Linked DNA regions of Neurospora crassa OR74A. The protein of the gene in region 1 purifies or fractionates together with the protein of each later gene. This does not show direct contact. Links are inferred from orthologs where the notes say so. Each region holds a gene or a part of one and is shown in the gene's direction. Other genes may lie near its edges.

Region 1 (4,242 bases):
CCACAACAGCGAAGGGGAGGGTTGGAGGGGATGCACGCAGCGGCCTGTGCTCATTGGCATGCCAAGACCGACCAGCTGGCTGAGTTCCGGTCCCCGCTGTCGGCCGGGCTTGGGCCGGTGCCGTGGCTTTCGTTCGCCGGAATCCACGCACTTGAGCCCGGAAGCCGCGGGCGGAGGAGGACGGGCCTGGACTCCCATGGTGCAACCGTGAACCTGAGTGGGGGTTACCCCCGCTCCATCAGAGCCCCGGCCTGGGCGCTTGGGGTGACAGACTTGACATCATGGGTGTCTCCAGAAAGGGGAATGTGAAATTTGGTTTGGAGATGGACATTCGCAGTCGATGTCCAGTTTTGTATCTGAGTCACAGCTCAGGATGGACAGTACATAGTGTTCTTCCAATGAGAGGTCTCGACTTACACAAGTGGAAGCTCAAGGGTCTGCCAGGAACCACACTTCCAAACTCCATGTGCGCCCATCCCCCATGTTCATTCACGGCGTGAGTGAAGAAGGAATAAGCTTGCGGATTCTGGAATACTAGTAGTACACCATAGGCCCCCGAAGTACTGTGAGATCATAGGATGGGGTGAGTAATTTGACTTGTGAGCTAGCAGAGCTGATATTAGTGTAGTAAGGTTCCAGTGCTACAGCCGTCGAAACCCGGTCCATGAGTCAAAGTCGCAGGCGGCTTTACTGGCATTGGGAATACAGCGAAGGATCTGAGCTCTTTCGGGAGCAGGCGGATTTGAGCTCTTTCGGGAGCTGGCCGAGGAGAAAATGTCAAGAGGTCAGCATCGGCGAGGCGCTTCGAATTGACTCAGCCGCATGGACACGTCAAAAGCGAGAGATTGATTTTGAAGATCACCAACAAGACCGGCATCGAGGCGTCAACTATCGCCGAATAGACTGGGGCCGCGATGACTCAGCCAATCATGAAACGCGTGAATTTCCTCTCCCCGCCAAAAAGTCGCAGCTCGAAGGGCAATTGGCCAATAACATGTCAGTTACGGCCAATTCAGCCAGTTTCACCGCCAAGGTACATAGTAGTCAAAAATTTGGCGGGGTTTGGGCGTCCAAAAGACAAACCAAACTCGGAGGTTGGAGGTCGTGGGTACCTACTAACCATTGACTCGGTACTAGCCGTCTCCAGTGCCGTCCCGGGAGCTTGTGCCTGTTTTGGGGCCATGGCGTGCATGAGCGAACATCGGACAAACGCTCAACCGACTTCAGATGACACATAGAGCCTGGGGAATAGTAGTGATGTTGTTAGATAGACCGCGCCCGACATGTTGTTATTTTGGCAGGCAAAGTGGCTAGGTAACGAGAAAGTCTCAAGTCTGCCACAAGACACTGATCTAGGATCGCCAGTAGGTGAGCTTAAAATCGGATAAGAATGGGAGGGGGATCTGGCAAGATGCGATGACTGCCCATGCGAGCATCGCAGATCCATGTACATATGCCAGTCAGGTCCCGCACTTCTCGACCGCAGAGGATTCCGGGTCCGCTTCCGTTGTCGGAAGCTACCCAAGCTGGCCCGCGGCCTATCTTGAAAATTTTCCAACAATCCGTCGTCACTTGTTCCCAACCCGCCAGTGCCCGCCATTGCCCCCGGCAAAGGGTGGCGGATGCGCAGAAGAGCGACTCCATTCAGGGCCTCATCGTCGATTGTTCTGTTTGGTGAAAGAGCAAAAGAGTCACAGCCGCCCACCAACAAATCTGGAACCCACCCTGCCGCCGGCCCCGCACATCTCTTATCGGCGCTCCCCACAGCGGCCGGTTTTGGGAATTATTTGTCTCTCTTGTCCCTCTTTCCGTCCAACTTCTCCAGTTTCTTCTCCACTGAAATTAAAAGCGCGAAATTCCGAAAACACGGACGGGAGACTCGAGATTGAGTCAACTGGTCAGGATCCGGGGTCAACAGCTACGTCGTTGTCAGGACTTGTTTGTTGATATACAAGACATCGGCCCCCCGAGACCCTCACGAGGCCTTTCTTGGTCTTTCTTTAATTTTCTTCCACAAACACCTCCCTCCATTGGACATAATGCTGTCGACCGTGCACAAGGCTGGCCGAGCTCCTGCTCTCCTCCGCCATGGTCGGCGGGTTCCCGTCCAGGCGTCCCAATTGAGGGCTCTCACCTCCGGCGCCCAGAATACCTCCATCTTCCAGACACAGGCCAACGCCGCCCAGAGGCTGTCCTCCCAGAAGAGGTGGCTCTCTGCCTCCGCTGCCGCGGCTGCTGCCAGCCAGCCCGCCCCCGACGCGAAGGCTTATATCCAGAGCGGCGTTGTCAAGCCCCGCGACCATGTCGACGTCAAGAAGGTGCTTGTCATCGGCTCCGGTGGTCTTGCCATTGGCCAGGCCGGCGAGTTTGACTACTCCGGTACGTCTAATGTCTTGTCGACTCAGTGAAACCAGACACAAAACAAACAAACAAATAAACAAACAAACAGCAGTGCTGACTCTACTCTACCCATCCAGGTTCTCAGGCGCTCAAGGCCCTTAAGGAGGCCGGCGTTGCTTCCGTGTTGATCAACCCCAACATCGCTACCATCCAGACCAACCATTCCCTCGCCGATGAGGTCTACTACCTCCCCGTCACCCCCGAGTATGTCGAGTATGTCATCCAGAGGGAGAAGCCCGATGGTATCTTCCTGTCCTTCGGTGGTCAGACCGCTCTCAACTTGGGTGTCCAGATGCAGAAGCTTGGCCTCTTCGAGAAGTACGGTGTCAAGGTTCTCGGTACCAGTGTCAGGACACTGGAGCTTTCTGAGGACAGAGATCTCTTCGCCAAGGCCCTTGAGGAGATCAACATCCCCATTGCCAAGTCCTTCGCTGTGAACACCGTCGACGAGGCCCTCGACGCTGCCAACAAGATTGGCTACCCTATCATCGTCCGCGCTGCCTACGCCCTTGGTGGTCTCGGTTCCGGTTTCGCCAACAACGAGGAGGAGCTCCGCAACATGGCTGCTCGCTCCCTCACCCTCTCCCCCCAGATCTTGGTCGAGAAGTCTCTCAAGGGCTGGAAGGAAGTTGAGTACGAGGTCGTTCGTGATGCCAACAACAACTGCATTACTGTGTGCAATATGGAGAACTTCGACCCTCTCGGTATCCACACTGGTGACTCTATCGTTGTTGCTCCTTCCCAGACCCTCAGCGACGAGGAGTATCACATGCTCCGTTCCGCTGCCATCAAGATCGTCCGTCACTTGGGCGTCGTTGGTGAATGCAACGTCCAGTACGCTCTTCAGCCCGATGGCTTGGACTACCGTGTCATTGAGGTCAACGCCCGTCTCTCCCGCTCGTCTGCCCTCGCCTCCAAGGCTACCGGCTACCCCCTGGCTTACACTGCCGCCAAGATCGGTCTCGGCCACAGCCTTCCCGAGCTCCCCAACGCTGTCACCAAGACCACCACCGCCAACTTCGAGCCTTCTCTTGACTACATCGTTACCAAGATTCCCAGGTGGGATCTGTCCAAGTTCCAGCACGTTAAGCGCGATATCGGCTCTGCCATGAAGTCAGTTGGTGAAGTTATGGCTATCGGCCGTACCTTCGAGGAGTCTTTCCAGAAGGCTATCCGCCAGGTTGACCCCCGCTTCGTCGGTTTCCAGGGTGACAAGTTCGAGGATCTCGATTTCGAGCTCCAGAACCCTACTGACCGCCGTTGGTTGGCTGTCGGTCAGGCCATGCTCCATGAGAACTACTCCGTTGACAGGGTCCACGAGCTCTCCAAGATCGACAAGTGGTTCCTCTACAAGCTCCAGAACATCGTCGACTGCCAGAAGGAGATGCAACAGCTTGGCAGCCTCGAGGCCCTCAAGAAGGAGCACATCCTCAAGGCCAAGAAGCTCGGTTTCTCCGATAAGCAGATCGCCATGGCCGTCAACAGCACCGAGGATCTTGTCCGCGCTGCCAGAAAGGGGTTCGGTATTAGGCCCTGGGTTAAGAAGATTGATACTCTGGCCGCCGAGTTCCCTGCCGACACCAACTACCTCTACACCACTTACAACGCCTCTTCCCACGACGTCACCTTCGAGGACAAGGGTACTGTCATTCTCGGCAGCGGTGTCTACCGTATCGGTTCCTCGGTCGAGTTCGATTGGTGCGCTGTCAGCGCCACTCAGGCCCTGAGGGCTATGGGCGAGAAGACTGTCATGATTAACTACAACCCCGAGACCTACTCGACCGATTTCGATACCGCTGATAAGCTTTACTTCGAGGAGCTTAGCTACGAGCGTGTCATGGA
Region 2 (3,980 bases), on another chromosome or scaffold:
CCGGACATGCTCTTCTGATAGCCGGTAAGGGCGTCACAATGTCTCATGGGGACCGTGACGGCCCGGGGCCTGGAGCTTCAGTTTATTCATGCATGCTTCTACGACAAGCTGGCCGGTTGAGATGAAAGAGGCTTGAGCCGGCCACATTGGCACCAACTTCGTCGCAAGATGTGTCGCGTTAAGCGCAACAGTACGAAGAGCTATGTTTTGTGTCTTGTCCTGTCTTGCGGTTTTCAATGATGAAAACCTCGCCAGGTGTCCTGGTGGTCTCTGCTTTGATATTGCGTACTCGGTCGAGTAAGCTGAATCCGTCTGAAATGGTAATGCCCAACATCCAGATGCTACGCGATGTATCAAATGCAATGTGACGTGTGGGAGCCTGTTATCCCCCACGTATTGGTGCTCGGCTGCTGTAAGGTACCACTACCGCAAAAATGCTACTTACGTGGCTTGACAAGGTGGTGACGATGTCTCTCTTCAATTGGTGTGCTGTCGCCGAGAGTATATGCTGGATCCAGACGCTATATTTGATTGTTCCCTCTTCTGTCAGCGTGCGGCCTCCGTTGTCCGTGCAGCCGATTACGACGGCCGGCTCTGGCGCAACCTGGGTTTGGAGCTTCAGAAGCTTGAAAGCGAGGCGAATCGCGACTGTACAAGTCCCCGCAACTTGAGTCACCGAAAGCGCGGGGTATCCACCATCTTTATCTGCGGCGGTAGGTAGGCGGGGACTTTGCGGGGGCTTTGCGGGACCCGACCACTCCAACTCCGAGATTCGTTGGGGGTGCCCCGGGCAGGAGATGCCGAGCTGGAGTCGCGTTGTTTGTGAATGTCGTGGCTGGGGTTGTGGGCATAGGTTGCGATGTGTAGTGTACGTAGTACATAGTAGGTATGTTGAACACCGGATGGGTGATTCCAGTTGTGAGGCTCCGGGACTAGTAGGGGTGGTAACCGTGATGGTCAAAGGGCATGTGGAACTTGCAGCGTCCCAACGAAGTCCAGGTCCCCAGTCATCCCAACGCCGCGATCAATCACCCCTCGGTCCCCGTAAATCGGCCTTTGGGACTCGCTAGCAGCGGGAGTCACCGAGTCCTGGACCAATCAGGTCGGCGCTGACCCTGTCACTGCGGCAGAAAAAAGACAAAGAGCTCAAAAAATTCTACCAGATCCAATCAAATGTCGCCCTTTTTCTATTTGCCTCACCCACTTTCGCACCCTCTTTTATCTCCAAGTTTCTCCCCTCGACACTACAACTCACTCCGTCATCAACTCTTGCCCATCTACAAAACACACAATAACCCCAATCGCTTCCCCCGACTTTCGGACTCTTTCGTCCAACCTTCTTTCTTCAGCTGAACTTGTCTTGTCGCAATCTGCCCTTATGAACGGGCGCCCGTCAGTCTTCACCTCTCAGGTACGATAACGCGATAGCCCCTCCATCGTGCTGGTATCCAGCCACCATCCACCCAGTCCATCAAAGAAGTTCCCCCGGATGAGCAATGAAGCCCCCATACCAGCCTGACTCGCGATGCTGTATCGGAGTAGTTGGGACGACCCGCCAGTAACCCACCAACCTGGGTGCTTGGCATCATGCCGCTCTGAGTTGGTTTTGGGAGATGTGGCCAGCGGTGATCCCCAAAGTTCAGCTCTTCACGGATTCCGATTGCATATCTCTCAAGATCGCGCAGACAGCCATCCTGGGGGAGACTTCTTCTCCTCGCTTCTGCCGCTTGCCGTCTGTTTGTAGTGTCTGATCAAAACTAATTCTGTTGCCTTTGTAGGATTACCTCTCAGGTCCGCATCCCCGCCGACTCCCGTTGACTCACCCTTTTCCGGCTGGAATACTGACGATGAATTTTGTGTGTTACAGACCATCTGTGGAGAGCCCTTAACGCATAAGAGCCTCTCATCACCCAGCAGCCGTACCAATCACCACCGCACCCCATCACCATTCAAGTCAAGATGTTCTCTCGCTTGGCCGCTCGTCTCCCCAAGGCTTCTGCCCTCAATGGCGTCGCCGCCCGTCAGGTTCGCAACCTGAGCCAGCCCGCCATTACCGGCAGCAAGGGCAGGAACATGCCCGCCCGTGAGCCGCGCACTACTGCCGCTGCCACCGGCGCCGAGGCCACCTTCACTATCAGGGTGCGTACCTACAACTAGTCTTCTCTCGTGGCTAAACCTAACATTTTCTCGCTCAGGATGGCCCCGTTTTCCAGGGTACCGCCTTCGGTGCCAACACCAACATTTCTGGTGAAGCCGTTTTCACCACCTCCCTTGTTGGTTACCCCGAGTCGATGACCGATCCCTCGTACCGCGGCCAGATTTTGGTCTTCACCCAGCCCTTGATTGGCAACTACGGTGTCCCTTCGAATGAGCGTGACGAGTTCAACCTCCTCAAGTACTTCGAGTCTCCCCACATCCAGTGCGCCGGTATCGTTGTCTCCGATGTCGCTACCCAGTACAGCCACTGGACTGCTGTTCAGAGCTTGGGCGAGTGGTGCGCCAGCGAGGGCATTCCCGCCATCTCCGGTGTTGACACTCGTGCGATTGTCACCTACCTCCGTGAGCAGGGTTCCTCTCTCGCCAGGATCTCCATTGGCGACGAGTACGACGCCGATGAGGATGAGGGCTTCATTGACCCTGGCCAGATCAACCTTGTCAAGCGCGTGTCCACCAAGGCTCCCTTTGTGGTTACCAACCCCAACGCCAAGTTCCACGTCGCTCTGATCGACTGCGGTGTCAAGGAGAACATCCTTCGTAGCTTGGTCAGCCGTGGCGCCTCCGTCACCGTCTTCCCCTACAATTACCCCATCCACAAGGTTGCCGAGAACTTCGATGGTGTCTTCATTTCCAACGGCCCTGGTGATCCCACCCACTGCCAGGAGACTGTTTACAACCTCGCCAAGCTTATGGAGACTTCCCCTATTCCCATCATGGGTATCTGCCTTGGTCACCAGCTTCTTGCTCTCGCTGTTGGTGCCAAGACCATCAAGCTCAAGTATGGTAACCGTGCCCACAACATCCCGGCTCTTGACTTGACCACTGGTCAGTGCCACATCACCTCGCAGAACCACGGTTACGCCGTCGATATCAGCACCCTCCCTAGCGACTTCAAGGAGTATTTCGTCAACCTTAACGACGGCTCCAACGAGGGTATGATGCACAAGACCCGCCCCATCTTCTCTACCCAGTTCCACCCCGAGGCTAAGGGTGGTCCCATGGACTCTTCCTACCTCTTTGACAAGTACATGGAGAATGTCGAGCTTTTCAAGAGCAACTCCCAGGTCTACCGTGACAACAGGCCTACTCAGTTCATGATTGACATTCTCAGCAAGGAGCGTGTCGGCGTTGAGCCCACTCCTCTTTCTAACGCTGCTTAAGCGACGAGAATGTCTTTGCATTTTCTTAGTGAACGGTGTTTGTCATTGGTCTTGGGTTATTGTTTTCCAGCACAAAGGATATGGGTTTTGTAAAAGGGACTTTCTTGGGCGACGTCCTCTCGTTATTAATGGTTTAGGGTGTATATGATATCTTTTGTTACTACTTTTGAATGCAGAATCAGATAAGTTTAGTCGGCATTAGGCTGATATGGCGCAGAGAGGACAATATCTAGTTGATACATACCCATGTGCTATCACGTCTAAACGTCTTCCAGTCGTTGTATTTTACCCATTCCTGGTGATTGCCGTATGTCTTCCAGTCCAGTACCTCCCCTAATTCGGTGCCCTTCAACATTCAGGGGTTATGTTGACAGCGTGCTGTATAAGCACTGGTTGCCGGGGAACATGGTGTCATTGACTGGTAAGCAGGGCAGCCTCTGGTTCTGTGACACCTGGTTTTCCCTGGTCTTGATTTCAAACTATTATCAAACAAATCAGCGTCGTCTTAGTAGATGGCAGGTATCTTAGAACAGAAAGTAGTTATTCTTCGTCGGATACGACTCCAAAATCATATACGAACAAGTGGAATGCTTTTATACTAAT

Evidence for each region. Proteins that work in one complex are often made in the same cells at the same time.
Region 2: the proteins of arg-3 (region 1) and arg-2 purify together in Saccharomyces cerevisiae (affinity purification with mass spectrometry, with the first as the bait; 3 studies listed by BioGRID). This does not show direct contact. The link is inferred for Neurospora crassa OR74A from reciprocal best matches to the Saccharomyces cerevisiae genes CPA2 and CPA1.

The regions. Positions count from the first base shown.
Region 1 is NC_026501.1:3,168,799-3,173,040, forward strand, and holds the start of arg-3 (carbamoyl-phosphate synthase large subunit), read left to right. Parts: upstream 1-1,436; 5' UTR 1,437-2,039; coding exon 2,040-2,379; intron 2,380-2,477; coding exon 2,478-4,242. UniProt on the Saccharomyces cerevisiae protein: Large subunit of the arginine-specific carbamoyl phosphate synthase (CPSase).
Region 2 is NC_026504.1:2,059,938-2,063,917, forward strand, and holds arg-2 (carbamoyl-phosphate synthase small subunit), read left to right. Parts: upstream 1-1,180; 5' UTR 1,181-1,411; intron 1,412-1,778; 5' UTR 1,779-1,791; exon of another isoform or gene 1,792-1,867; 5' UTR 1,868-1,959; coding exon 1,960-2,139; intron 2,140-2,195; coding exon 2,196-3,377; 3' UTR 3,378-3,789; downstream 3,790-3,980. UniProt on the Saccharomyces cerevisiae protein: Small subunit of the arginine-specific carbamoyl phosphate synthase (CPSase).